Alligator mississippiensis: one gene and its partners. The protein of the gene in region 2 interacts with the protein of the main gene of each other region in a biochemical or structural test. Links are inferred from orthologs where the notes say so. Each region holds a gene or a part of one and is shown on either strand. Other genes may lie near its edges. The genes, in order: RFWD3, RPA1, ATM and RAD51.

Evidence for each region.
Region 1: the proteins of RPA1 (region 2) and RFWD3 form a complex in vitro, tested with the Homo sapiens proteins (3 studies listed by BioGRID, with this or other methods). The link is inferred for Alligator mississippiensis from reciprocal best matches to the Homo sapiens genes RPA1 and RFWD3.
Region 3: the proteins of RPA1 (region 2) and ATM form a complex in vitro, tested with the Homo sapiens proteins (3 studies listed by BioGRID, with this or other methods). The link is inferred for Alligator mississippiensis from reciprocal best matches to the Homo sapiens genes RPA1 and ATM.
Region 4: the proteins of RPA1 (region 2) and RAD51 form a complex in vitro, tested with the Homo sapiens proteins (2 studies listed by BioGRID). The link is inferred for Alligator mississippiensis from reciprocal best matches to the Homo sapiens genes RPA1 and RAD51.

What each region holds. Positions count from the first base shown.
Region 1 is NC_081833.1:40,708,365-40,716,275, reverse strand, and holds the start of RFWD3 (E3 ubiquitin-protein ligase RFWD3), read left to right. Parts: upstream 1-4,910; 5' UTR 4,911-5,004; coding exon 5,005-5,050; intron 5,051-7,911. UniProt on the Homo sapiens protein: E3 ubiquitin-protein ligase required for the repair of DNA interstrand cross-links (ICL) in response to DNA damage. Plays a key role in RPA-mediated DNA damage signaling and repair.
Region 2 is NC_081837.1:557,760-564,867, forward strand, and holds the start of RPA1 (replication protein A 70 kDa DNA-binding subunit), read left to right. Parts: upstream 1-4,101; 5' UTR 4,102-4,175; coding exon 4,176-4,208; intron 4,209-4,547; coding exon 4,548-4,595; intron 4,596-4,889; coding exon 4,890-4,968; intron 4,969-5,437; coding exon 5,438-5,546; intron 5,547-6,235; coding exon 6,236-6,324; intron 6,325-7,108. Other genes in the region: SMYD4 (SET and MYND domain-containing protein 4), read right to left, coding at 933-1,102, 1,391-1,573, 2,143-3,307, 3,393-3,482, 3,556-3,700, 3,775-3,896. UniProt on the Homo sapiens protein: As part of the heterotrimeric replication protein A complex (RPA/RP-A), binds and stabilizes single-stranded DNA intermediates that form during DNA replication or upon DNA stress.
Region 3 is NC_081824.1:436,970,265-436,977,718, reverse strand, and holds the start of ATM (serine-protein kinase ATM), read left to right. Parts: upstream 1-4,444; 5' UTR 4,445-4,636; exon of another isoform or gene 4,637-4,676; intron 4,677-7,454. Other genes in the region: protein NPAT, read right to left, coding at 845-963, 4,224-4,260.
Region 4 is NC_081825.1:240,951,072-240,958,618, reverse strand, and holds the start of RAD51 (DNA repair protein RAD51 homolog 1), read left to right. Parts: upstream 1-4,545; 5' UTR 4,546-4,696; intron 4,697-4,702; exon of another isoform or gene 4,703-4,795; intron 4,796-4,815; exon of another isoform or gene 4,816-4,832; intron 4,833-5,207; 5' UTR 5,208-5,384; intron 5,385-6,169; 5' UTR 6,170-6,195; coding exon 6,196-6,282; intron 6,283-6,953; coding exon 6,954-7,091; intron 7,092-7,547.

The DNA of each region.
Region 1 (7,911 bases), on a different chromosome or scaffold from region 2:
CAAGGTTTGCATGGCCACCAGGGGGCCATCCCTGGAGCACAACTTGCTACAGATGCACAGTGTCCAGTCCAGTGAAGCTGATACTTGAGAATTACCAACTCAGTGCTGGTAACACTGGCTTCAGCAGGGATGCTGGTGTTTGTACAGCAATCTTTCCATTTGATGTGGAGGATTTTCCAGAGGCATTGTTGATGGTACCTCTCTAGGTTCTTGAGATGATGATGGTAGGCCACCCATGTTTCACATCTGTAATAGGAGGGGAGGGGTAATGGCTGCATTGTGGACCTGGATCTTGGTGTCTTTCTTGAGATTGCAATTATTAAAGACAAAAAAATGCAATTTCCCAAAGGAGACACTTGCACTCCAGATCTTGAACTGGATCTCCTCATCAGTGTTCACTCTCTGAGAGAGGGGGTTACTGAGATAGGGGAAGTGCTTGACTATTTCCAGGGTCTTTCCCTCAGTGATAATTTCATGGCCTACTGCAGGCTGATAGACTACTTTAGTCTTCTTGATGTTGAGAGACTCAAAATTCAGTAGGCTTCTCCACAGATCCAGCGTGGTCTGGAGGTTGTTCTCAGTGTGCACAAGGATGGTGCAGTCCTCAGCATATTGAAGGTCAGTATGGTTGTTTTGAGGACTCTGGTCTTTTGAGTGAAAACATTCCAGATCTATGCAAAGAACCACTTTGAAGAGTGGTCTCATTACCCTAGGGGTGATTCATTTTCAGTTCGGGTGCTAACAAAAAGTTAAAATATTTGTATGCTGAGAAAGCTGAACCAATGCCAAATGTAACAGTCCTGGTTTTTCTCCAGGTTTACCTTAAACCTTACTTACCCCTTTGTGGTCAAGAATGTTAATGTTAGTGCATTTTCATGAAGGTGAATACTTCAGAAAAAGAGCTTTTAAGAAGACGTATACCTCAAACTTAAGAGCATGCCACACAAAATTAAAACCCTGAAATTAAACAAGTGCTACAGCAAACAAAGATTTCTTACTCTTCAGATTGTTGTTATCCGATGATACGTTTGTAGTTAGATTCATATCAGACTAGAATTCTACTGATGGCCAAACTTCTGACTTCAATTTCCAGATCAAAGATGGCATTGTCCATTTCAAGGATGGCACCTATGTCCCACATGGTCAGTCATGACTCCAAAATATTTGAACTCTGTTATGACCCATCCCTTTTTTGTCACTTTAAAACATTTAAGTAGGTGCCCCAACATTTCTGGTGGCCAAGGATATTCTTTAATAAGGACACAATGTGAAATGGCATTTCCCCTCATGCCATTAACAACCACATTTCAACCTGGGATATTCACTTCCATCTATTTCATTTGTTGACCTCCCCAGCTCTGAAGACAACAGCTGTTCTAGTCATTGTTCAACTAATTAATGTTATATTTCATCCTAGAGTCCCTACCTAAGGAAAAGGCACAAACCTGTTTGAATGTTTTCTTTCAGACCTCATGATTTACAATCTAGCATTGCTACCAAGAGGCAAGTAAAGCAGTTTTAGCATCAACTTATGAAACTTCTGAACACTGAACAGAAATAACATATTGACTCTTCCATAAGAGCTTATAGTAATTGGCTGATGTGATTGCAGAATTGCTGGCCATTATATTTGAAAACTCTTGGAGCTTGGGGAGGTCCCAGATGATTGGAAAATGGCAAATATAGTGCCCATCTTTAAAAAAGTGATGGAGGAGGATCCAGGGAACTACAGACCAGTCAGCCTTACCTCAGTCCCTGGAAAAATCATGGCACAGGTCCTTAAGGAATCCATTTCTAGGCACTTGGAGGAGAAGAAAGTGATTAGGAATAGTCAGCATGAATTGACCAAGGACAAGTCATTCCTGACTGTCCTGATTATGTTCTATAATGATAACCAGCTCTGTGGATGTTTGGAAAGCAGTAGGCATGATATACCTTGACTTCAGCAAAGCTTTTGATATAGTCTCCCACAGCATTCTTGCAAGCAAGCTAAGGAAGTATGGGTTGCATGAATGAACTGTGAGGTGGATAGAAAGCTGGCTAGATAGGTGGGCTCAACAGTATCAATAGCTCAATGTCTAGATGGCAGCTGGTATAAAGTAGAGTGGCCCAGGGGTCCTGGGGCTGATTTTTATTCAATATATTCATTAACAATTTGGAAGATGGGATGGAGTGCTTCCTCAGCAAGTTTGTGGATGACACCAAGATGGTGGGAATAGTAAATATGCTGGAGAATAGGGCTAGGATTCAGGGTGACATCAACAAATTGGACTGGATCAAAAGAAATCTCATGAGGTTCAACAAGGACAAATGCGAAGTCCTACACTTAAGATGCTAGGATCCTATACACTGCTACATGCTTGGGACCAACTGGCTAAGAGGCAGCTCTGAAGAAAAGGACCTGGGAGTTACAGTGGACGATAAGCTGGATATGAGTCAACAGTGTGCCCTTGTTGCCAGGAAGGCTGTCTCAGACGGCCAGAGCCAAGTTGAGGTGATCTACAAATTGCTTGGCCGTTGGGTGGGCTGGTGAATGGAGAGGCAGACAAAACGTATTGGTTGCAAAAAGGCTTTACTTATGCCGCTAGTAGCCGCGACGCAGGTGGTCCGATCGCTTAAATAATTACACGAGTTGCTCCAGCTGGCAAAAACCCAGGCCAGCGAATCTGTAAACGAACCAGGCATGCAGGAAAAGGGGTACGTCGAGGGATAGCATTCGGCGATGGGGAGAAAAATCGATAGTTGATCAGGCTATCGATTCGCTCTGCCACGTCAGGAATTCTTTTAAGTCACTCTGCAGCATGCTCAAAGTTCTCCGACTTGGGCGGAAGTCGCACAGAATTTTATACGGCTAACAAGCCAATCGCTAGCCGCCACATAGGAATAATTTAGAATCAGCCAATGATAGGACACAAATTTGCATACAAATGGCGGGAACTCTCTTGCACCAGAGTTTTCTATTGCAACAGAAAACTTTTGCTGTGCACAGAGACTCTCATGTGGCGAGAAAAATTCCATTGTGCCGAGGCACTTAAAATCATTGGGTTATGACAAAGGCTAACAGCATAGTGGGCTGCATTAATAGGAATATTGCCAGCAGATTGAGGAAATTATTCCACTCTATTTTGCACTGGTGAGGCCACATCTGGAGTATTATGTCCAGCTTTGAGTCCTCCCCTACAGAAAGGACGTGGACAAATTGGAGAGAGTCCAGTGGAGGGCAATGAAAATGGGTAGGGGGTTGGAGCACATGGCTTATGAGGGAACTGGGCTTAGTCTGCAGAAAAAAAGAGTGAGCAGGGATCTGATACCTGAAGGGTGGTTCCAAAGAGGATGGAGCTAAACTGTTCTTAGTGATGGTAGATGACAGAACAAGAGCAATCGTTTCAAGTTGCAGGAACGGAAGTTTAGCTCAGTTATTAGGAAAAACTGTCTCACTAGCGGGGTGGTGAAGCACTGGAATGGGTTACCTAGTGAGGCTGGTGGAATCTCCATCCTTGGAGGTTTTTAAGGGCCAGCTTGACAAAGCCCTGGCTGGGATGATGTAGTTGGGGATGGTCCTGCTTTGAGCAGGGGGTTGGACGAGATGACCTCTTGAGGTCCCTTCCAACCTTAATTTTCTATGATTCTAATCATGCAGACCAGCAGCATCAATCAGAAGGCACCAAGTTTTGCTTTTGGCAACAGGGTATGGCTGAAGACAGAAACTCATCTGCATTTAACCTTCAAGCAAGTTGTGCCAACAATAAATTAGCTTATTCAAAGTCCTTCAGCAAATCATCCCAATCACTTTCAAACTATAGGAAGCTAAGTACATGAAAATGAATCCAGCAACTCCCTCTCCTTCCTCTGTTTGGTCATTGCAGCATTGGAGGTCATCAGATGCTAGCTGTAAAAAGGGGTTTGCAAGTAGCCCATTAGTCTCCTTCCTTTGCTGCTGCCTTGTTTGGCTTAGCAGAACAAAGGCTGAGAGGGGATGTGATTGTTCTCTATATACAAACTCATCCAGGGAGTAAGCACCAGGAAAGAGTCAGAAGATATAGCCCACGTGCCAGATCTGACCCATGGTGGCCTATCATCTGAATCATATTGCTGCCCGGGGGTCTCAGATTGGACCAGGGTTGCAGACTCAGACTGGTTTGTGCTGTATCATATCTGCTGCATGGGCCAGATCCTGCACATATGGAGCTAGGTCCAGCACTTGCACTACATGTGACGCGTGCTGCCTGTAGTGCTTGCACTGGAGCAGCCCCGTGCTCTGGATCCAAAGTGCAGAGCTGGTCTGTGGGCCGGCTCTGGTCCCCCGATCAGCCCCGCTACTCATCCGACCGTCTCTGTGCGACTTACCCAGCCTGTGGGGCTAGATGCGTTTGATATCCCTGCTCTAAAAGAAACGTAAACCAGAACACATCCTTATAAACTCATCGGAAATATATTTGGCCTGGAATTCGGAAGTTCTCGTAGCAGCGTGAAGAGCGATGTTGTCGCCGTGACAGTCCCCAGAACACGTGAGGCGAGGACTCCTGAGGGAGACATTTCTTACTAGACCAACTCCGTAGCTGGTACAATAACAGGGCACACCTCAGAGATCCTCGTCTCCTCGCAGGCAAGTGCAAGAGCTCCCCCCGCCCCGCCCGGCATTTGAATGCAAGCTTTCTCGCGCCTTTTACCTCGTCAGACGGCTCCTCCAATGAAAATGCCCTTCCGGGCGCTGTGTCCTGCCTCCGATTTTGCTGATCGACAGGCAACTCGCCAATCATAATTGAGCGCTGGGGCATCATTTCTGCCCCGTGCCGCCGCGTCGCCTGTCTGGCCAATAAAAGTAGAGTGTGTGAACCTCCCCTCCTCCTTCCTCTCGGCCCCTGGCGAACGGGCCGCGTCCGCATCCAATAAGAATGCTCATTGCGACGGCGGGCTGTCCAATAGGAGAAGGGGTTGCGTTGATGGAGGGCTCAGCCCCTCAATGAGGTGGCGGGGCGGGATGTGAGGCCGCGGCGGGAGGCGATGGCGGCTGCGGCGGGACGGTTGGAGCTGGCGGCCGCGGCGCGAGGTGAGCGCGGGCTCGGCCCGCACAGACGCGCTGCTCCGTCCCGGCCGCCCCCTGCGGTACTGCGAGGGGCGCGGGATCCTGCGGGCAGCGCCCGGCCGAGCCGCCGGAGCCCGGCCCGCGCACGGTGTCTGTCTGGTCTCCGGGGCCGGTTCGCCGCTTTCTTGCGCTGCCTCATATTGACGCGTGCTGAGATGAGGTGGATGCGGGCCAGGCTGGCTCCCCCTTCCCACCGCTGTCCTTTGCCCTGAGGCAGTGCTGCGGGTCGGCTCTGCCTGCTGCAGCCCCAGGCAAGGAGCACGTAATGGCTTCTGTCTCTCTCACCAGGATGTAGCAGGGGTGGCAGCTCCAGCCGTAGCTGACGGCCAGGGCTGCCAGCGCTGTGCCGGGAGCCAGCATGTGCTCTGTGCCCTGGGCCAGAGTCAAACCCAGAGCCGCAGCTCGAGGCATGGGGTGAGGGGCAGACTGCTTGACTCCTCCAGCACTTGCCCTCATGATGCTGCATTGCTCATTGTAGTGGTGGGGGAGACAAATTTAACATGACCCTCCAATAATGAAGTTTTTCCACATATGGGAGGCATGGGCAACGGCAGGATGCTGCTACCTGCTCAGAAATGCAGGCTGTGCAAGGCTCCGAGCGGGGGTGGGGGCTGGGCCCCAGCTGCACTGGAGCAGGCAGCAGCAGCACTGGGAGGGGCAGCTATGGGATGGGCTACAGCCATTTCATTTCTCTGTAGCCCCTCTGCCCAGCACCACTACCATCCACTGCAAGTGCTGGGCTCTTCCCACCTCCTGAGGAAGAGCCCAGAACAGCCTCCAGCCCCAGGCGCATAGCGGCAGCCCACCTTCACCCCGCACGCAGATCTGGGGGGGCACCTGCCCATGCCCCCTGGATGAGCCATGGCTCTGTCCCATATCCTGCCTCACCCCGACCCTCTCCCTCACCAAGAGGACCCCAGTTGCCTGTCCCCCCCCAACAGACTTACTGGCTGAACAGTACTGTCAGGCTGCACTCCTGGCTGTGTGCATTAGGGCTCTGAAGCTTCAGTTGCCGATTTGATTTGGAGGAGATTCAGCCCGATTCGGCAACCAAATCTCTGAATCCAAATCGAATCAGGAGGCCTATTAAAAGGTCTGAATCAAATCCAAATCCTCTGAATTGATCATTGATCCTGATCGACCAGGGAGAGGCAGGCACAGCTGGGCGGCTGCAGGTTCTCCTGTAGCTCCTTTGGCTGTGCCTGCCTCTCCCTGGGCGGGGGGAGCCATGGGAGAAGCCCCCATGGCTGTCCTCCTCGGCCCCATCCCCTGCACTCACTGGCTGCAGGAGCAGCGATTGGGGCCTCTGAGGACTTGTGGCAGAGCCCCCCTGCGCAACAGGGGGCAGCAGGGATTGCCTCCCCACACACCTGGCACCTGTGGGGAAACTCCCCAATGGTGTGTGTGCAGTGCCGTGTGCTATCTGGGAGCTGGGGCCGCTGGGGCTGAGCGCTGCCAGGCTCCGGCTGACTGCTGGAGCTACCCCAGCTCCCAGACAGTGCGCACAGGGAGCCACGCTGCTCCCGTGCAATGCGACAGCTGCCACGCAGGTGCCAGGTGTGGGGAGTGATCCCTACGCTATACAGGGGGCTCTGCCACAAGCCTTTAGAGGCCCTGGTCACAGCTGCTACAGCCAGTGAGTGTGGGGTGCTTTTTTTTTTTAAGTGCTGGGAGGCTCGGCCAGGCGAGGGATGTGGCTGGGCAGGGCAGCTATGGGGGCTTCTCCCATGGCTCCCCCCGCCCAGGGGGAGGCAGGCACAGCTAGAAGAGCTGTGAGAGGGCTTGTAGCCACCCAGCTCTGCTTGCCTCTCCCCAGCTGATCCGAATCTCCAATTCTGATTTGACCAAATTGAATGGGGACAGTGATATGAATCACCGAATTGAATCAGTGTCCTCCGAATTAGCCAAATCCGAATCGAATACTTCCTTATTCGCGCAGACCTTGTGTGCGTGCTGCAGCTGTGCACACACGCGTAACATTTATCAGTGACATTATCAGCCACATCAGCCAAAAAAGGCTGATTGCGTTTAATGTCAATTTTCCTTTTTTCGATGTCGATACCATATAGACTGATATATCAATGTACCTCTAATGTCTATTCATAGATTCATAGATGCTAGGGTTGGAAGGGACCTCAATAGATCATCGAGTCTGACCCCCTGCATAGGCAGGAAAGAGTGCTGGGTTCAGATGACCCCAGATAGATGCTTATCTAACCTCCTCTTGAAGACCCCCAGGGTAGGAGAGAGTACCACCTCCCTTGGGAGCCCATTCCAGACCTTGGCCACTCTAACTGTGAAGAAGTTCTTCCTAATGTCTAGTCTAAATCTGCTCTCTGCTAGCTTGTGGCCATTATTTCTTGTAACCCCCGGGGGTGCCTTGGTGAATAAAACCTCACCAATTCCCTTCTGTGCCCCCATGATGAACTTATAGGCAGCCACAAGGTCGCCTCTCAACCTTCTCTTTCGGAGGCTGAAGAGGTCCAGGTGCCTCAGTCTCTCCTCATAGGGCTTGGCCCGCAAGCCCTTAACCGTACGAGTGGCCCTTCTCTGGTCCTCCTTCCTCCCCTTCTTGAAAATGGGGACCACGTTGGCCCTTTTCCAGTCCTCCGGGACCTGGCCTGTGCGCCACGACTGCTCAAATATTACCGCCAGTGGTTGCGCAGTGACGTCAGCCAGTGCCTTCAGTACCCTCGGATGGAGCTCATCCGGGCCTGCTGACTTAAAGGCATCCAGTTCCTCCAAGTGACCCTGCACCATCTCAGGGTCTATCTTATTCACAAATATTCATTTGTATTTTTCACCATAGTATCTGAGAACGTTAT
Region 2 (7,108 bases):
TGTTGCCTACTGCTTGCATTGTAACAAGTGTTAGGTACATATATGAACCACTTAGTAGATCTAAAAAGGCTTTGAAAAAAAGGCTTTTAGAAGCTTTGAAATGGATGGCATACTTGCCATCCAAGGGCTTAGAACAGCAATCCTGAAACTTAGAAGTCTCAACAACGAGGGGAGCCAGTGAAGGGAACAAAAGTTTCATGGCAGCTAATACCGGATCACTACCAGCACTCAGTACTTCAACAGCACTGTTTACATTATATTGTGCTAAGTGTATCCGCAGGGTAAGCACATAGCCTTTTCCAGTCTGGCGGCTGTGCACTGAAAGTGGAATATGCTGCAATTTTAAGTTTTCTACCTCTGCACCCCTGAATTGCTTTACAAGGCCATTGCACTGCTTCCCAGCTGCACATTAAAACAAAAGCACCTGTCCCTTTGCAAGTGTCACATTCCCCAGACAACAGAAAGGAAGCTGTAGGCACAGCGCCACCAAAGCTTCCAGACTGAGTCAATGTTGATCAAGGCAAAGTGAGGTGTTAGACACCCACCTAATCGCCGGATAATACAACCCTGCAGTGCTAATTCCTGCCTGACTCAACAGCTCCACCTTATTCTTCAGGTCACCTTTCCACAGGATATGCTATGCCTAATTTAGACAGTCTCTGTGTGAATACCCTCTTCTTAGTTCTAGACCCTGGGAACATCTCAAGGATCAAGGATCTTGGCAAACATGCCCCGAGGAAATTCTGGAAGAGTCCAAGCCAGAATCTTTCAGAGGGGTTTCTTTGAGAACAATGAGAACCTCCTTAATTCTGCAGCACTACAGGTCATAGAAGCATGAGTGCTAGACTCAGACTCATACTTTCCACTGTTATTTTGCAGTCAGGATCTACCAAACTTAAGAGTTGCATAAGTTTTGATTCTTGAACAGTTACCTGCATTGAAGCTTGGCAGTGGGGACAGCAGAATGTGTCTGTTGTGGATGGTATGCAGGTGATATCAGACCCTAACTCCTCTCGGCAGGCCTGGCATTGACACACAAAGAAATACTGAGAAAGAAGTCGCTGCCGTCTCTCAGCAGCCCCCATTCTGCATCTGTGAGGCCCTGCAGAAGAAAATAAAAGTAGAGTGCATTACGTAAACCATGAAGCTAGGTACCTGACTACCAGCTAAAACCACCCCCACCTTTGTCAAAATATGAAAGAAATAAAATACTGACCATAACGGGGGGAAGGAGGGAAAGAGGGGGATGCGTGTGCTCACACGTGTGAGCGTGTATAAATATTGTTTAGAATTGGGATCTTGGAAGGAAGTCATAGTTGAAAGGTGACTCATGTACCCTACACGTATTATTCTGGGAAAGTAGTACAGAAAAAGTGAGACTATAACATACCATAGCAATGGAAAATCTCTTGCCCTTTTGGAATTGGCTGCGAAGCTCTGACTGTGACAGCTGTCCCACTGAACATCACACTAGTGGTGGGGTTGCAGGAATGGTTAAGGAGGCTGAGCACAGGAAAGAAGGCTGTGGCCAGACGTACTTGCTCCCTGTTTACTACAGTGCCATCTCCACACCCTAGACACACAAACACAAAGGGGGCAAACAGATCAGGGAGTGCAACAAAAGTAAATCTACAGTGCTTTTATGCCAGTTACTATGCTTAGTCTTAAAGAGTCGATAGTAAAGAAGACATTTCATCACCTTAATATAACAAAAAACTGTTCAACTAAATTTGGCAGTTCCTGCCCTCACAGTCCAACAATGCAGCATTTATCTTCAATAGTCAGCTCCCTATTTAAATTCAAAGACGAATCAGAGATTTCCTAAACTTCATCCTTCTGGACACAGCTGTAAACATCTTGTTTTCGTTGCTACTGGCCATGTATTAAGACATGCATTTATTTATTTTTAAAGAAGCATATGCTTAGCCTCCACATCCAGGCGAGAAGCAGGTCTCCAAGCCCTACATCGTGCAAGGCCTAGAGATGTGAAACAGACCTTTCCCTGTGAAAGTGACCGCAGGGCTTTAAGGAAATGGGACACTTAGCCACGGGTAATGGGAACTCTTTAAAGGACCTGCATTCCTCCCACAGGACAGTCAAACAACGACAGGAGGGGAGAAGAGCCGAAGGCTTCTCACCAACCTGACTCCTGGATTCCAGTCACGGCTTGTGCATTACACTGCAGCTGTAACATATGCCTCAGCATTGCCTCTCCCAGAACCTCCAGCTCAGCGGACACCGTCTCACACGCTTCCCCCTTGCGCTGGCTCTCAGGTGAGCCCTGCCTGAGGAAGGTGGCCTCCAGACCGGCTTCTTGCAGTCGCTTGCACAGCGCTACCACGCTCAGGCAGCAAAGAAATTTGTGTTCAGGGCTGTGCTTTTCAGCATGTGGCAGAAGATGGAAGACAGCTTGGTAAGAAGTCTGGTACTGCCCACGGCCATCACACCCAGGAATCGGGGACTCCCCTTTCTCACACGGTCCCTCGCGACCAGATCTGGAGTTCGGCGTCTCATCAGCATATTTCCTGCCCGTCTCGGCACCGTGAAACTCCTGGTCGTTTCCATAAGCCTGCTTCACCAGCCTGCTAACCTCTGCAAACCCAGCCACCAGAACCGTCCTTAGGGCAACGTGGCAGAAGACCCCCAGCGTGAGCAGCAGCGCCCCCAGGGCACACTCTGTCCGGTGGTAGCGCTCCCATGCCAGCCGCGCACACTCCTGGCTGCAGTACTTCGCGTAGCTACAGCCTCTGCAGGGCACGGAGGCCAAGAGCGGCTTTAAGCAGCGGTGACAGTAAAGGTCCTCGTTAGCGATACTGGTATCCCACGTGGTTTCAACACCGTCCGGCAGCAGCAGTCGCTCCCCCGGGTTGAGCACGCTTACAAAGGCCTCCTCGCTCAACAGGCTCTCTCCCGGCAGGATACCCCGGGCAGCCACCAAGTGACGCCCCCGGGAAGCGTCGAAGCTCAAGCTCACGGAGGAAGACGCACCCGGGAGGTCGCTATTCTCTTCCAGGGGCTCCCGGCCTTCCCGAGCCTCGTCGAGCGCCGCGGACACCGGCGCCGGGTCGCCCTCCCGTTCGCGGGCTTGCGCTCGGAGCTGCTCGATCTGGCTCAGCAGGGCGCGGCGCGCACCGCCCGTCAGACCCGCGTCCCCGGCGACCCGACTCTCCGCCACGCTGAGGGCCTGCGCCGCGTCCCGCGACCGCCCCAGCAGCAGCAGGCACTCCGCTTTGCGGAGCAGGACCTTGGGTTGCAGCCCGGCGGGGTAGCCCTGGCCCAGAGCTCTCTCGATGTCTTCCAAGCACGCCTGCGGTAGAAAAAAAGGCCTTTACGGGGGGGGGGAAAAAACACGCAACCATCCGCCCCACCCGCGCACCCGGCCGCGGGCTCACCTGTGGGTGCTGCAGACGGAAGAGCGCGGCCGAGCGGTTGGCGAAGCACAGGGGCAGCTCGGGGCCGCCGGGCGCCGCGTGCGACACGGCCTGCGGGCAGCGGGACGGCGGTCAGGGCCGGGCCGGGCCGGGAGGGGGGGAGGGAAAGGGCGGCGCGGCCTACCTTGGAGTAGAGCGCGGCGGCGGCCGCGAAGTCGCCCCGGCGGAAGCGCGCGTTGCCGGCCTGGCGGTAGAAGCAGGCGGCCGCCGCCTCCTTGCCCGCGCCCCGCCGCCCGCACAGCGCCCGCAGCAGCGCCTCGTCCTCGGGCCTGCGGGACAGCGCGTCAGGGGACGGGGAGAGGGAGGGCCGCGCCGCCGCCCCCAGCCCCGGCCCGCCGCCCACCTCAGCAGTCGCCAGCAGCACCGCAGCGGGGCCGCGCCCGACAGCTGAGCCCGCAACGCGGGCCCCAGCGTCTCCCAGCGCCGCGCCGCATGCACCCGCCACGGCTCCGCGGGCAGCGCCATGTCCCCTCAGCGGCCGCCTGCCCGCGGACCGGTACTTCCGGCGTACAGCACCAGCACTTCCGGCACTCGCCGCACCGCGGCTAATAGAGGGCGGCACTTCCGCTGTACGGCACTAGCACTTCCGGCATCCGTCGCACCCCGGCTAATAGCGGCGCGGCACTTCCGCCGTACGGCATAGGCACTTCCGGCATCTCATCCAATAGCGGCGCGGCACTTCCGGTCACGCGGGCGGGGGATTTGGCGCGGCGGGAGCAGGAGCAGGAGCGGGCTGTTGTCGCCATGGCCGCGCGCCTGAGTGCGGGCGCGATTGCGGTGAGGGGCGCGGGCTTCCCGCTCCTCGCGGCCGAGCCGGCTCGTCTTTCACGGGCAGGAGCGCGCGGGTCCCCCGGGGCGGGCCAGGGGCCGCGTGCCCGGCGGGTGCCCCTCGCTTGGGCCGGGGCCCGCGTGTAACGCCCCGCCCAGCCCCCGGGTGCGGGGGGCCGAGCCACCCCCGGCGCTCGGCCCTGCTGAGGGCCCTTCCCACCCGGCCCCTGGGAAGGGAAACCCGCTCGCGACGGGCCGAGAGACGCGGGAGGCCATAGGGGAGAAGGGAGCTGCGGTCCTGTCCCCGCGGCGCCAGGTGTGACCTTCTTCCTTCTCGTCCCTCTCCAGGCCATCATGCAGGGCGAGCCCGTGTCCAAGCCCGTGCTGCAAGTCATCGTGAGTATTCGCACAAGCGTCCTCCTGCTCCCGGTCGCCGCAGCTCCGTGGGCAGGGGGCGGGCGGGCCAGGCCTGCGCCCTGGCGTGACTCGGGCGGGGGAAGCTGGGCCGGGAGCAGATGTCCTGTGCACAGCTCCTTGCACCTGGCCTGCGACAATGCGTTTCAGTTGCTGGCAAAGCCACACAAAAAAAAGCCCCCCCCCCATTCGTGTCTGCAGACGAGGTGTCACCTCGCCGTGTGTGTCACAAGTAGCGTGGGTTGAGGGCTGAGGACCCCTGCCTTTCCCTTGCAGAACACGCGTGCTATTGCCACGGGCAGCGGCCCTCCGCGCTACCGCGTGCTGATGAGCGACGGGGTGAACACGCTGTCCTGTAAGTGCGACGCCGCGCGGGCGAACGTGCCTCTGCCTCCGCGGCAGAGCCGACACCGGGGTGTCACGGGCGTGGTGCGGGCTGTCCCTTTCGATTCTGGGGCCGGTCATTTTGTTCTGGTGTCTTGCCGCGGACCACCCAAAACGTGGGCAGCAGCTCCGTCGTTAGCAGAGTCTTCTACGCGCGCTGAGGTCCGAGAGGAATTAGCAGCTCGGTTGAATCATTTTCCATTCTGTTACGTGTCTGATTACGTTAATCGCTGCCTGAACGCTGTAGTCCGTTCTCCAGCTTTGGGTGGCTGACGTGCAGCTTATGCCCAGGAAATGACTCTTGCTGGCTGACGTGATAATGTGCACACCTTAGGTCTATTCAGCGCCACTTGTCGGAGTAGAGAAGTTGCAATTAGCCATTTTAGTACTGTCCCTTGCTAGCAGCTTTCGGAGGGGTTTTCTTTTCTTTTCTTTTGCAGCTTTCATGTTGGCAACACAGCTGAACTCTCTAGTCGAAGAGGAGCGCTTGTCTGCCCACTGTGTCTGCCAGGTGAACAGATTCATTGTTAACAGCCTGAAAGATGGAAGGTATTTTTGTTTGTTTCGATATTTGTGTTCACAGAATTGGCTGAAGGAGCGGGTGAAAGGGAGGAGCTCAAGCGCTTCGTTCCGGGGGAAGTGGACAGGTGTATCCAGGGGGTTCTCATAATGTAGGCACTGGCTCCCTTATAGTTTTCTGGGAGCAATTCAGAGTTCTGGTTGTAACCAGTTTGTCTGGGCCTGACATACCTAAAGGACTGCTTTCTCCCCCAACGCCCCATTGCAGTCTGTGACAAAATAACAAAAACTTCAGAATTATTCGCAATTCAGGCACATGCAAAATCTTGGTAACTTTTACTGCCACCCTTCTCTTCTCCTTCAAGTTGCCTTTTGTATTGCATGCATAGTTGTATTTAGTGTGCACTTTTGAGACAGGTAGTATATAAGGAATCTGGTACCGTTTTTAGGGCTTTGCAAATAGCAATAATCGTTATCCCATCTCTGTTTCATGTGCACTGTTCAGGTTGTTTTGTTTCAGCCCACGCCATTTCTGCTTGCATTTACTGAATGTTGTAAACCGGTGGGTAATGAAGCTGTTTCCTCCTGACATTACCTTCCCCAGGGAATCTATTCTGTACTGATTGTAGTGCCTTTATATATGCAAAAAAGAAACTTGCAGCCTATGACAGACAAAGACAGATAACCGTAGAGTATCTTGCCATCTGTTCTGTTTTTAGGAGAGTGGTTATATTGATGGAGTTAGATGTTCTGCAAACTGCTGATGTGGTTCGTGGAAATATTGGTGATCCAGTGCCATACAATGAAGGTAGGTAACTTAGCAAACAAAGGCATTTTGTTGTTTCAGAGACTTACTGCTGTGCTGGTCTTTCAGCTGTGTACTTTAGTGAAAAAGGGGAGTCAAATTTCAAGTGATAGAAAAACAGGGCTGGTCATCTTGTCCACTCTGTCCTCCAAAGAGGATCGTCGCTGTCTAAACCATCCCCAAATTAAGGGAGGCCTGGTGTCATCCGAGCAGGCAAACCTCTGGTCTTTTCAGACATACTGCTACTGTATGCCTAAGTTGCACGGCTCTAATTGTCTTGTCTAGAGCTGTGATTTCCAGTTCCTTAATGTCTCTTCTGCACGTGGAACTTTTGTATAGTGTCTCTCTCTAATATACAAACCCAAGGCCAAACAGTCAGTTTCTGTCTCTATCTAGTATGGGGAAGTCTTGAATTTTCATGATGTTACTACTCCATTAATAAGAAACAGCTAATTATCATGGGGGGGGGGGGAGGATATAGAATCCTGATACAATTTTGCCTACGTGATTCCATTTTAATCTTTTGTTTTGATCTCTGCAGCATGCAGGTGGGATATTTTTTCCAGTTTGTATGCTTTCCCTTTGGGGGGTTTTGAAAGTTGAGACAAAAAAATTCAGTTATTAAAGAAGAAAATTGGGTAGAGAGAAGTACATTATGTGTTATTTGAAACACAAGCCTGAATATTCTTTGGACAGGTGTCCTTGACATTTATGGAGATAAAAGGTTGAAATTTGAGAGGGGCACAGTGTCATGGGAGGAATGGTCCCTTTTAGAGAATAGAGGGTA
Region 3 (7,454 bases), on a different chromosome or scaffold from region 2:
TCTGTGCAGTAGTATCTAAAAATAACCATGTGGCGACGGGACTGCGCAATAACGCTGATCACTGCACAGTCATTTAGTACTTGGTTAAGCAAGTACTAAATGACTGAGCAGTAACAACTGCGCAGTTGGCTACTCATGTAGATGTGGCCACTGAGAATCAAGAGTTGTCACCCATTCTATAGTTTGCCTAGAACCCCCATGGGATTCCCAAAGCTTTCTTCCTACAAGGTGCAAGTCAGTTGAGGAGAGTCCATACAAGCAGATACATCATTCTGTAATTACAGCAAACAGATTTCTTCCCCTTGCCCATATTCATTTCAAGTGCATCTTCTAAATTTTGAGACAAGCCTCCTATCCCAAATTCAACAGAAAAATCGGTTATGTTCTCAATCAAGAGCTTGCAGCAGGGATGTCATCTTGATCAGGTATCTAACCAGGTACAAGTGATTTAACTGTCTGAATAACTATAGTACTTAACTCCTGGAAATATGTATCAAAGGCAATATTCCTTGCTTACAATAACAAAACATGTAACTGTACATTATGAATACCGCTCACTTATTTTATTCTTAGATTTGTAAAACTGTCAGTGTCTGGGTCAATGTCCAATGTTTGTTATATTAAGAATGTAGGAAAAAACAGCTGTTCATATACAACCCCTTATGCAGGGTACCAAAAAAAAGTTACTCGGTCGTACTGTTTAAATGTCTTGAACACTGCAGATGTTACAACCATTCTGAAAGCATAGAAGTCTGTGCAAACTTAAATAAATTATTTTAGAAGTACATATTTTGGAATGTACTAGGGTTCAACTCTATCTCACGTGCTTCAAATATAAACTTACCAATAAACAAGCTGGAACAGACCCATCCTCTGTACAGTGCTCTGCATATTCTTTTAAATCTGAGCTTTCCAATATAAACTCACGACAGGTAGCTGAAAGTTTTTCTTGTTGTAAATATCCTGCAGTAAATAAGACAAAGGTATGTGATTTGATTCACTTTTTTACAAGGTACACTTGATAGGTGTCAATGCACTGATACAATTATGTAGCATAATACAGTAAGCTTACTGTGCAATCATCTAAGCACTCAAGTGACAAATACTCAAGAAAACACGAGTTGTGTTATGTTTTGAAAGAATAGCTACCTTTCTACACATCTCTCCAGTAGATAATGTCACACAGCTTTACTGACACCATGCTACATGTACATAAATAACTCTTCAGCTAAGAAATGATTGTTAAATGAAACCATTTGTGTGCACAGTACCCTACAGGCAAAAAATAGAGGTCTTGCCTCAAGTGACTAAGTCAAATGTGAGCTGAATATTCCAGTTTTAAAATAAAAATGGTACTCTGCAGTAAACTTTAAAAGACATTGCCATACAATAAGCAAGTGTTTTTGTGCACGTTTTGAAGTTCCAAACCCGGAAAACAAATGCAATATAAAAATATTTTACATGATTTCTTTCTCCCAAAAGATGACATTATAGATATTTATAGACATGGGAAAAGCAACACATGTCCATGCTATAACTTTGCTTTTAGTTGGTGAATCAGCTATACTTTAGGTACTCCTACAACTCGGGCTCTCTCACCAGCCTTAATATGATATATACAGAAAAACTCCTTCCACCTTCCAAAAAGTCTCAAACCAATGATATTTTAATATTTTATATTAACATTCAAGTAACTCAGGTACCAAACAGAAAGGAAAAAAACTATCTGAATGAATGATTCTAGACCACTGAGCCATAAAAGTTAGTATGGCATGTTGTTTATTTTATGCTGAAGATGGTTGGCCCCTGGTGATTTGGCCACTCTGGCTTTAAATGTCTCTTATGGGATTCAACTACCAAACATGTTAACTCCAAATTATCACGTAGAAAATAGTATTCTTTGAACTGACAAAGAGATAGGACCAAAAACTTTTTCCACCGTGTCCACAATAGTGTTCAGTATCTGATGCACAATGAAAGCTAAAAAAAACCCCAAAAAACTCTATTAACTGTTCAATGCTGTGCATTACAGAAGTTTAAGTTACACATGTCCCAAAAGTGATTAACTGGTATGTAACATATTACAATCATTTTTTAAGTTTTGCAAATGTGTTCTGTGGGTCAAAGGAAGTAGAACCATATCTTACATCTCTGACTTACAACAGTTAAGGATATATATGCTATGCACATAGACAAATTACAAAATCAAGCACCAAGAAGTTAGGAAATGCCAAAGCTAATGTTGCCTGTAAAATATGACTTTGATCCCTCGTGTGCATGCATTATGCATTCCTATTTCATTCCATGATCAGAAAATATTTTTCTATAGACCCCTGTATTTCACACAGAATGACCAACACTCTGCGTTTGCAGCTATTCTGTGTTTTTGTTTCCTTATCGTGCAATGCCCTGTGCCTTACTTACTGAATCCAAAAGCAGTCGTAAGGGGCAATAATTTATTTGCAATAGTGCTGGGGTGATTTTGTAGCTGTGATGGCCCAGGAAAAATGTGAGAAGCAAAGATTTTTGTGGGTGGTATCTTTTATTGGACCAACTGTATAGTTGGAAGGGATATGGAGGAGATTTAGGAACCGCAGCACCCTTTGTTGTCAGGTCTTCCTCAGCTACCACCCACAAAAATCCTAATTTTCTTGCAGAATTTTCTCCAGTGCTTTTGCTGTTTCATTTTAGTTTTTCTACAAATATTAATAAGTTTATTTTCACAGCATCACAGGGTAGCAGCCAGGTAGCAATGAGATGCTAAATGAGCAGAGATTCTTGAGATCAGATTAATAGTTTGTAAGTTTTATTTTTTAATATAACCAAAGCAATAGATTTCCCCACCTAACTCAGCTCTCTGAAACAGCTCCAGCATTTCAAACAGGACTTTAGAAATGATCCAGCTGGAGGCAAATGCACCTTTCGGAAAAACTGAGCCTATTTGGCCAAGCCATGAGCAACAGAAGATAAGATCTAGTACAACTTTAATTAAGTCTCATTACACGCACTGCTTACAATGCCTCCATAGGTTTGAAGCCTATGACTTTTCAATTCCTGGCCTCTCATTCTTGTATTGAAAAAGTTAAAGGGCTCTGTCAGAAATGCAGCAATCCCCCAAAATAACCGTTTTAAAGTGACCGCCTTCTACTGTTATGCTAACCCACAAGCGGGCATCCAGGCTATAGCCATATTGGTATAGAGGAAAAAGCAATCAGAGCTCATGGTAGAGGTGATATCTTTTAGTCCAACAAGATTTTTGCAAAACCTGACACACGAAAGTTATCAAATTTTAGCCGATTTTGAAATTAAATCTTCATATTTTCCCCAAAGAGGAAGCAACTGTGACCACCTGAAACACTGCTCTTGCTTTTGCTCAAGCTAATTTGCATCATCACAGAGCCTCACAAAAGAGGGCAGAGACTCTTAGCCAGCTAAGACCTGCCTGCCCAGAGGAGTTTTTCATCTATGGACTCCTCTGTGATCTGTGAAATCCTATGAAATACGAACTTTCATTCCTATCCAAAAGAACTTTTACAATCTTTTCTCCAATGCCTGATGAAAGGTGTTTGTGCCCAAAAGCTTGCAATGAAAGAATTTTTTTTTTGCAAAATTCTTGTTGGTCTAATAAAAGGTATCACCTCTACCACAAGCCCTGAACCTCACAATCATGTTTTTCGAAGGTGCAGGCTCCCAGCCCGTGGTAGGAGGAGGCTCTCTCAAGCTGGTCTTCCAGTTCACAGGAAAACGCACAATTGGCCTGGCAGCCAGAGCAATGCTGGGGGGGGGGGGAGAGAAGAGCAGATTTCTTGGGGGAGGGACGATCATTCATTGGACCAACTGCAAGGTGGAGACAGAGCCAGAAAGGCTGTGGGGGTCGGCAGCCTCAATCATGTCACTTGCCGCTCGAGGAAGCGGCTTTGCCCTGTGCTTGGCCGGCTCTGTCCCAGCGGCGCAGCCAGAGTGCTGCACCCCTCCCCCCCGCGTCGCCTCCTGGCGGCCCGCGCACCAGCGGCTCGTTTCCTTCGCCCCCTTTATTCTCCTCAGACTCCAGGAGACAACGCGGGCGGGTCCCGACGCCGCACAGCCCCCCGGGCAGCGCCGGGTTCCCCACAGGGCCAAAGCACCGCGAGGCCTCAGGGAGCCGGGGCGGGGCGGGTCTCTGGGTTGAGGCCAGGCCGCGGAGGCAGACACAGGCCGCGCTGAGGGAGTCTCGCCGCACTCACCCAGCACCAGGCGGGCCACGTCGGACGGCAGCAGCATGGCCCCAGCGGGCGGCGGCACTCGCAGCTCGGCCGCCCCGCGCACCACACGCAGAGCGCGGAAACGCCACCCGCGCAACCCGCCCCGCCCCTTCCGCCGGAAGCCGCAGTTGCACAACCGCTTCCGGCACTACCCCTCCCTCCCTGCTGGCGCTGGTGCTGCGAGGCAGGCGTAGTGCGCATGCGGGTGGGGCTGCCGCGGTAACGGCCCGCGGCGGCGCGTGGCAGCGGTGGGGCCGGACTAAGGCTGCGCTCGTACGGCCGGGCCGCTCATCAGTGCGGGGAGGCCTCCGCGCTCCCCACGGCTGCACGGCGCCGCGGCTTGACGGCTTGAGCGGGTGCGAGGCCGGGGAGGGTTTGATGAGCTGGTTTGGCGGGTGCGTTAGCGGTTCTTTCTGGCAGCGGCTCGGACTTCGTGTAAGTCGAGCCAGGGAGGCCGCCTGTGGCACGTGCGTGCGGCCCTGGCGGAGCGGGCACAGGGCTCAGGCAGCGCAGGAGGAGGCAGGGTAGGGAGCAGAAAGCAGAGCAGAAGATGGGGCGGGGGCACGCAGGGAAGGAGGCAGAAAGCAGAGCAGCAGGTCGGGTGGGGAGCAAAGAGCAGAAAGAGCAGCCAGCTAATTCTCCGGGGAGGGTGTTGTGCTGAGGGGAGGGTGTGGTGTTCGTTTGTCACTTCTGCCAGAAATCTCGCCCCCCCTCCCCCCCCATGAAGGGCATTGACAGGTAAATTCTGCCAGTTAAAGAGGTGTTTCTAAATTTGGCTTCTTGACAACAGTGTTTTTAAGCTGGACACAAATATTTACATGATTTTGAAAACTTTCCAATAATAATCATTGTTTTCGGCTTTCTCCAGAACCTTGAACAAAAATGGACAAGGGGCAGATGTGAAACCGGACTAGTTCTTTTTTAGGCTAGGGACAGACATTACACTTAAACTGGTTTAAGTGATCAGAAACTGGTTTAAACCTATAACAGAACAGACGTTCAGGGCACATAAACCAGTTTGAGAAAAACCTGGTTGAGTGTAGTATCAGACTTAACTGATTTGGCTCAAACCAGTTTGTCTGTCTGTTTAATCTCAAAGGTTTACAAAAAAATAACTATCAGCACAAAATGAGGGAAAACGCAGATTTTACATCATTATTTTATTTATCTTTTTGCTCAATGGTCTGAGGTGATACATGTGACAACAAATGTGCTTATGCTTACAATCTGTTACTTAAGTTGGCCAGGAGGATAAATGATCTGGGAGCACGAATGACGTTCTGGTTGATCCTCTCTTTGTAAGGCAAGCAGGGGCCATCATGCCCTGGAAGTGCATGTGGCTGGGACCGGGGTGTTGATGTGAAGCCTTTGGATTCTTTGACAGCAGGCAGATGTTCTGGGAGAGGGCCTGCTATCAAGAGATGGGATCCACCTGACCAGAACTGGAAAGAGCATCTTTGGACATGGTCTGGCCAATCTAGTAAGGAGGGCTTTAAGCTAGGTTCAGCGGGGATGGTGAACAAAAAAGCCACATAGTGCAGAGGGGAAGACACTAGTGAGTCACAGGACAGCAACAAGTGGTGCAGAAGGGAAGTGAATAGGTCAGAATACAAAATACATTTGATGTGTGGATGCAAATGCAAAAAGTATAGGGAAGAAACAAGAAGAGCTGGAGACTGCAGCCTGTGAAAAGAACTATGACCTGATTGGTATCACAGAGCCCTGGCAGGACACCTCTTATTACTGGGATGTCAACACTGAGGGGGTTACCCTTTGTTTTGAAATGATGGGGTTGGGGAAAAAAGGTAGTGGTATTGCCTTCTATGTCAAAAACATACGCTTGTTGCTGGACTCAGTAGGAAGAAGATAGCGGAGCAGAATGGATTTGCGTGAAGAGGAAAGGTGAAAGATGCAGCACTGATATAATGGTGTGGATCTATTGTAGGCCACAAAATCAGGAAGAGAAGGTGTCTCCAAAAGCTATGGGATAGGAAACTTAATTTTTCGACATCTGCTGAAAGAACAATACAGCCAAACACAAAATGTCGAGCCAATTCCTAACTTGTGTGGAAGACAACTTTCTGTTCCAGAAAGTAGAGGATACAACTAGGGGCTCATCTGTCTTGGATCTTGTCTTGACCAACGGGAAATAACAGGTGGAGGATGTGAAAGGTGATGGGCAACTTGGGAGGAAGTGATCACAATCTGATATAATTCTAGGTCCTGAGATGAGGAAAGCATGGCATCAGCAAAAGTAGGATGCTAGATTTCAAACAGGTGTATTTCACCCAGCTCGGGGAGCAAATAGGCATGGTTCCTTGGAAAGATAGCCTGAAGAAGAAAGGCACCCAGGAGGGCTGAGAGCTTCTAAAGTGCACAGCATTGGAAACCCCCAAAAAACTGTTCTGACATGATGAAAGCGCAAGAAAAATGACAAGAGACCAATGTGACAGCACAAGGAGATTCTAGGATGCATCCAGTGCAAAAGGAAAGCGTACAGGCTATGGAAAACTAGACAGGTCACCTAAAAAGCTTACTGGGAAGTAGTAAGAACCTACAGGGACAGAATCAGGTAGGCAAAGATAAAGCATGAGCTGCACCTGGTGAGGGAGATGAAAAACAACAAAAAGGTTCTATAAGTATTTGGGCTATAAAAGAAAGATCAAGAAAGCTGTAGGCCTACTGTTAAGTAACAGGGAGGGGGGCACTCTAATCAGAAGATGTAAAGAAGGTGGAGCTACTCAATGCTTCTTTGCTTTAGATGTCATAAAAACATTTAAGCTGGAGCCAGACACCTAATAAAGAGTATTGGGTCTGAATGAATTCAACTCTGTAGAGTCTGATAAACATCATCCCAGGGTATGAAAGGAATTGACAGAGGAGATTTTGGTCCCCTTAGCAATAATATTTATAAAGTTAGGGGTGGTGGGCGAGGTAACAGAGGACCGGAAAAAAGACAAAAAAGAGGGCCTGAGAAACTACAGTGTACTTAGTCTCGCCTCAATACCTGGGAAGTTACTGGAACATATCCTAAGGAAGTCCACTGGCAGGCGTCTAGAGGAGAAAAGGTTGATCACAAGCAGTCAGCGTGGATTTACTTGATCTCTTCCTTTGACAGTGTAACTCTGTGGGTGGATGACGGGAATGCTGTTGATATAGTGAACTTCAGCAGTGCTTTTGACCAGGTCCTGTATGACCTTCTCATAAACAAAT
Region 4 (7,547 bases), on a different chromosome or scaffold from region 2:
AGTGATTTCTCTGTATTGGTAAATGCAGAAAACATTTAACTCTCATGTCCATTCTGTTTCCAATCTTTACACCCCAAGTAAATCAAATTCATACTGGATTAAACTAACTAGCTGGGAAGGATTGCACAAGATGATTAAGGCCCCTTTTGTGCTCTGTTATAAATTCTGTCTTTTGTGTCCCCGCCCTTAATTGTCACTGGAAGCTTCTGAAAATCTGATCATAGGATAGAAGCACTGTTGATGTTGTGTGTTGCTGCTCCTGTGTTATGTTTTTGCCTTTTTGGTCATTTACATGAGTGCCAAATGAAGTCCTAACACAATAGAATAGGGGTGCTCAACCTCAGGCCTGTGAGACCATGTCATCTGGCCCCTGGGTCTCCCCACACATCCAAAAATTATGACAGCAGGAGAGCAGTGGCAGCATTAATTGTAGCTCTCTTGCTGCCAAATTTCCAGACCCATGGGGAGCCCCACAGGCCAGATAGCATGGTGCTGTGCACTAGATAGTACCAACCCACAGCCAGAGCTGGTGTGTGATGTTGGACCAGCATGTGGTGTCAGGCCAGTATGTGCAGCTGGACCAGAAACATAGATCATACCCATGGACTGACCCTGCATGCCATATTCAACCCATGGACTGGCCATTTACCACCTCATGTGGTCCACATGCCAGAAGGTTGAGCACTTCTGCAATAAAGCAAGCAACAAGTGTACTGATTTAAATTACTGACAAAACAAAGACAACCTGCTTTGGGATTAGATATACATCAGTCCTGAATAGAAGTTAGAGCAGCAAATTTTAACCATGGCTGTGAGATCCTTAAGGAATACCACTGGTTGTGAGGAGATAAGTACATGCTCAGTGCCATTAATAAACTGTCTACAATAAACTAGTTTTCAAAATGGGGTGCTGCTCAATTTGCAAAAGGTATGGAGGGGTCCCTTGAGTGTAACTCCCCCCCCCCCCAGCCACTTGTGCTCACTTGGAAGTGTCAGCAGCACATCTGCGGGATCAGTTGCAGGGGACTGACTAGCTGGCCCGGTTGATGACTGGCTGCTGGGGGGATAAGTGCCCCCCCTGACTCAGGAGGCACCAGTTGCCCATGGCCTCTGATCCTCACTGCCATGCATTTGCATTTTTCACTGACCTGCATTTTTAATATTGCCTTCTGTCCCACCCAGAACACAAAACAGCACTCTCCCTATGCCTGAAGAAGTGTGTTTGTGCCTGAAAGTTTACAAAGAACAATTTTTCCAACTATTTAGTTGGTCAAATAAAAGAGATTACATTTACCCAAAGAACCTTGTCTTTAAACCAATTAATTTCTAAGGTGCTACCCTGCCCTGCCTTCCATCTCTAAATGTACTTCTGAATTCCCAACCACACTCTATCCTTGCTGGTTTAAAATAAACCAGACTCCCCCAGCATCCTGGTATGCTGTCTGGCCTGGGCAGGGCTCTCTGTTCCACAGCAGGACTAGCCCCTCCCCTCTGCTCCCTGGCTGGAGCTCCCGCAGAGACTGCAGACACAACAGGGTCTGCCTGGCTTTACCTTGCCCTATGCCCCCTTCCCCCACTGCTTGCTGTTCAAGCAGGGATTCTCCCCCCTCCCTCTCATCTCCCATAGCAGGGACCCCAGCCCCATGGACCCTAGGCACGTGGTGTGCTAGTTAATGCTGAGAGGTGTCTCTGTGCATCTCTCTCCAATTTCACTGGGACAGGCAGACAGCACAGTGACCACTTAGGGCTATTTGTAGCTAATCAACAGGTCAGCCGGTAAGCTGTTGAAGAAGAGTTTGAAGTAATAGGTCAGGGATGGACATTGCATAAACTGGTTTGAGCCAAATCAGTTAAGTCTGATACTACATTCAACCAGGTTTATATCAAACTGGTTTCAGCCATTTTCAAACTGTTTTATGTGCACTGAACATCTGTTCTATTACAGGTTTAAACCAGTTTCTGATCACTTATTTATAGTTCTAAGACACTTGAAGCTCTCCAGCCTGTCTGGAGTAGCTGCTTCCAGCAATAAACTGCTCTTAACCTTTCCAGCCAAGTGAAAGCAGCTAGGATGAATGGCTTAGGTGTCAGGTAACAGTTGCCACAAATTTACTGTTCTCTCAGCTTCTAGCCATGGGGTCAGCAAAGTTCAGTAATGAGTCTCGTGCATCCATGACCCTTTTCTTGAATTGGGGATTGACCCTTTTCTTGGGTTGGGAATTGCTCAGCTATAAAAGGAAAATAGGCTTATTTTCTAAGTGAGAAAGATTCTAGCTTCTCCTTTCTTTCCTGTCTTCCCTGCTTGCAGCCCATTTCCTCCTCAAGCTAAAGATCTGTTTTCTGTGTTGCAGAGTTTTGTAAATAAATACATTTGCCTCTTGCCTTACCTCCAAGCCTATACCAAAAATAGTGAGATAGGCAAGGCCTCATTATCAAAAATTTACTGTGGAAATGGTGCTTTTGTTTGTACATGTTTAATATGAGTGGGTGATGATCAATAAGCAGGCCCTGCAAGTAGCAGCACTTATGAAATCAGGCAGTTACGATTTTAAGATGACTCCTGCCAAATGCACAACAGACAGTTATGTTAAGCAAGATGACTTAAAGCCTCAGAATTATAGTTAGTAGATATTACCTTTTCAGTGTCACAAGTGTAGGTGCTACGTTACAAACAAGTTAAAGATTTCTCCCTTCTGTTGTTCAGGTGCTAAACTGCAGTGGTATAATACAAATAAATGATGAGATGGAGGCAGGCAGGAACGGTAAATCTCGAGTAGAGAGCAACGTCTTTCAGTCCTAATTCAATACTATTAGGAATTTATGAGAGGAAACCTTATGACATTTTAAAACTTTTAAAGCCTGGTTGTTGGGGTACAGGTGTGTGCTGTTTGAATATATTAAATTCTAGTTCGATTTCTTCAGTTTTTGCCCCAGCCACCCCTACCCCACCTGGGGCAACCTGCCATACAAGGTGCACCACTGCTAATTGTCATCAGGGAACCAAATGTACACACACATGTGGACATGCCCATACAAACTTTAGAATGCCTTGCAGATAACCTAGTTATCTGATGGAGTTTGATCCTAGAGGCTGACTAGATTGTCTCTCAAGTCACAGAAGCTAAAGCTTCTTCTGCTTCACCAAATTATAATGTACGAAATCAAACAACATGATCACAGCTAGACTTCTAAAGGCATTCCTATCTCAAACCAGTGACTGCTGGGATGCACCACAATCCAAGACTACCATGATCAAGCTGGGAAGTTCTCCTTGTGAAACTTGGTATTCTAATTACTGGTATTTGCCAGTCACCAGATGAAGAATATCTTGCATGTGAAAGTTTGTCTAAGTGTAACCCAAACAGGAAGCTGGTTCAATAAAAGATATCGCCACAAAAATCCTTGCCTCTCCTGTAGCTCCTGGACCATTGTGGCTACATTGCTCCAACACTATCACATAAATCTTGTTCATCCTAAAACACATCAGGACGAACTTCACAGTGAGAGTAGCCAGAATTTGGAATGGGCTTTTAAAGGAGGCAGTGCTCTCCCCTACCTTGGGGGTCTTTAAGAGAAGGCTTGATAGGCATCTGGCTGGGGTCATCTGACCCCAGCACTCTTTCCTGCCTAGGCAGGGGGTTGGACTCGATGATCTGATGAGGTCCCTTCCAACCCTAGCACCTATAATCTATACATCAATGACACGTGGGTATTCCTGTTGAACTGCACCCTGATGCGCCTGTCTTGCTTCTTTCATGAAAAATATTTTATGTAAAAAGTATGAATTAAATAGTTCAGGCATTTTACTAGATGTGTATGTGATTTGGTTACTGCAGGAGCCAAGCAGAGGGCCCTTTAACTGGTTCATTTTGATGGACTTCTCTATATTCCCGCAGAAAAATTAGGTATTGGCTGTGCACACAGAGCACAGCTCAGCAGGGCAAAGGGCAGCCACGGGGAGGAGGCTTAACCTGTCCCATCCCACATGGATGCTTTGGTCACCCTCCAGCTCTCCTGTGCAGTATTCATTTTCATTTCCACTTGGGAGAAATGTGACAGTCTTTGCATTCTCCTCTGCCTGAGGAGGCTGCGTGAGCCTGGAAACGTGCAAATAAAGACACGTTTTTTGCAACCGTCTAGGTGGTCTAATAAGAGAGATCGCCTCTACTTTGGTCAATAGTTTTACTTGAATTCAGCCATTTCCCTGCCCCAATCCTAATGCCCTCCCCCCCTCCCCCGTCTTCACAACCTTCAGCTCTAGGCTGGTTAATCAGTTTCACGTAAGGCTGCCCGGCTTGCTCAAGTTCATCCCCGGGAGGCTTCCCTCAGCCTCCGCCCGGCACGGCTCCCCAGCCAGAAGCGCGGCTGCGGCTCCGGCTCCGGCTCCGGCTCCGACAGGAGGGCACGTGCAGAGGCCACTGCAGTCCCCACGGCTCGACGTACCAGGGTCCTCACAGGCGGCAGGGGCGGAGTCACGCGGCCAGGACCCCGCCCCCTCCCGGCGCGCATGGGCAGAGCGAGGACTGAAGCCCCGGCTGCGCGAGCAGAGGCCCCTGCCCACACGCGTCACGTGACGTGGTGGCGGGCTCCTCCAAACCGGGCGGCGGCCGCCAACGGGCCCGAGCGCGCGCGGGGGAGAGGAGAGGAGAGGAGAGGAGGGCCCGGACCCGCGGGGGAAGAGGTCGCCTTGGCCCACGTGAGGAGTTCTTCGGGGAGCCGGCTGTGCGCGAACCGCTGCTGGGCCCCACCCAGGGCTGCTGGGCCCGGTGTGAACGGTGTCCACAAGCCTAATGAGGTGGCGTGACGTCACGGCAGCGCTGTGATGTCAATAAGTAAACGCGTGACGCGTGCCTGGGCCTCGCTTGGGGCCCAACGGGGCGCTGCAGGCTGTGGGGACCAGGGCAGGGTGGAAACACCAGGAGGGGGGAGGTGGTCGCGCCCCCTGTGCTGGGGGGTGTCAGCTCCTCCTGCTTCCCCCCAGCCCCTGTCGTTCCCCCCGGGGCCCAGGGGAGGCCTCATCGCCACCAGGCAGGGACCTCAGCGCAGGGCAGGCAGAGAAGGCTGTGAGCAGCGCGGCTGCTGGGTGGGCCACAGGAGCAGGGTAGACAGGACCTGGGACAGGCATTTCAGTGTCATGCTGGACCGGCCGCCTGAGCGGGGGCTGGGCCACGTGACTTGAGAGATCCCTGCCCACCTTTTTGCTACAGTCCTGTGACGTCATGGCTAGGTCCCGGCTTGGAGGTAGGAGGTGGATCAGCAAGCAAGTGGTGGTGTGAAGCTCTTCCACCTTCCTCGGAAGCGCCTGTTCCTGCATCGGGTGGACGTCGCCTCTGAACCAGCTCGTGGTAATTCTCATGTTCCTGCAGGCACGTCTCTGATTTCAGGTGAGGTAGTCAGTGTGGAGATGCACACATAGCACCTGCACCCCCCAAACTGTTTTTCTGCTGCCATCAGTAAGACGAACTGATGATACTGGCCATGTCATTCATGGAGTGATCTGTTTTCCATCACAAGTCCTTATGTCCTTACCTGCTGCAGATTTCTGTACCCTGCCTCTGCTTGATATTTAACATGTCAATCTAGAGCTACAAAGCCTCAGAAGAAATGTGCAGGGGGGAGGTGCAGATAGGGGGAAATCACTATTCTAGCTTTCTAGCTTCACTAGAACTGGTATTGATACGGTGCAGTTTGGCAGTTAAGTTAGTTACGTGAAGACAGCCAACGTCAAGTACGATGTTGAAGTACAGTCTTGATTCAAATCTTCAAAGTAATCTTTTAATGTGACAAGGAAGCTTGGTGCTACATGGAGGCTCAGATAGTACTGTGTATTACTAAGTAATCCCATAAAGAGATTTTTGATATCTTGTGGTTCGTGTAGATTTAAAAAGTACTTTAGAATTCTATGTTTAATCCCCTGTTATTTCTTATTAGAAGACCTGAATGTTTTTTAGTAAGCTGCTGTGCAGAGAGAAGAGTGCCTAGAAATGAATGATTTATTCCTTCAAAGATGCAAAGAATTAGTATGAGCTGTGTGGGGTGGGAGAGACCTATTGTATGCTATTATGAAGAAGCTGTTAAAGTAGTGTTTGGTTGTGGCACTGACAGAAGAGAGACTTGTTTGAACATTTCTTTTTTCATGTGAGTGTGTTACATGTATCTTTTTCCTTAGGAGGGATTTATTGAAGACCTGGTGTAATGGCCATGCAAATGCAATATGAAGCAAATGCAGATACATCAGCAGAGGAAGAGAGCTTTGGTCCCCAGCTGATATCTAGGCTGGAGGTATGGAATGAGTTACTATCTGAAGAACAAGCTGCCATGCAAGCAGCAAAACAATTCTTCAATGAGAACTGTATTTAGGAGTGGCCACTAGCTTTGCCTAGCTAATTTTTGTCAAAAAATTCCAGTCCAAAGTGTTACAGAAAGCATCAAAACTTAACTTGAGGTGTATTTAATGTGAAAGGTGGACAAATGCTGATCTGTGGTTTGTATAAAGTACATCAAAACAAAAGTAAATCAGCAACTGTTAGCAAAGAGGTTACATTCTGTACCACACCATGCAACTAACTTGTGAATATCCTGTCTGAAGATAGTCTCCTTTTCTTGAACTTGTTTAAAACTTCATTAGTAAAAATTAAAAATCATGGTTATTTACATGGCTTTGTATTACTACTCCTTCTGTGCCTAGATAGCCAAAAAGAGAATCACGTATGCTTCCTATTCCATGTTATTTTTGGTACTGATAATGACCTGCACAAACAGTGCATAGTGTAAAGGAGAATTCATAGGGGGAGGACAGTCTATTCAGCTATTTTTTGGGTGTAACTGAATGAGGAATTCAGTATTCTTTTCCTTGATCCAGTCCTTACAGAAGACAGTTGGAGGGTTTCTAGGCTTTCAGTATCTCTTTCAAAACACTGTACCTACCATAAGTATTTTTTTATTCCTTTCAGCAATGTGGTATACATGCAAACGATGTGAAGAAGTTAGAAGAAGCTGGATTTCACACAGTTGAGGCTGTTGCTTATGCACCGAAGAAGGAGCTACTTAATATTAAAGGCATCAGTGAAGCGAAAGCTGACAAAATCTTGGTAATTGCATTTGGATGAAAGGTTTATGTACCTGTAAAGAATTTCAGAACTCTGCAGCTACTTACCACAATTTTATAAAGTGACTAGCAAGCTTTGAGAGGCTCAGTGTTTTGGATATCCAGCCTTTTCTGAAATGAGGCCCCTTTAAAACACCACTAGTTGTACATCCATGAGTGCTAGCTGCTTTTTCAAAACCTTGGGCCATTTTATACCTACTTAGAAAGATGGGTGGAGGCAAGAGAGACGAATTACGCAGATTTATTGATACTGAAGTAGAATCTGATTGGTTCCTCAAGTGGTGGGGAATTAGCATTATCACTGACTACTAAGATTGTTGTCCTGGAAAAATGATGAAGTCTATAACTTAGAGAATAAAAATGTACTAAAAAGGCACACTGTCATAATGCTTTTATTGCTAAATTGAAGTCATTTTAACAATACTCTGAAGTGTTTGTT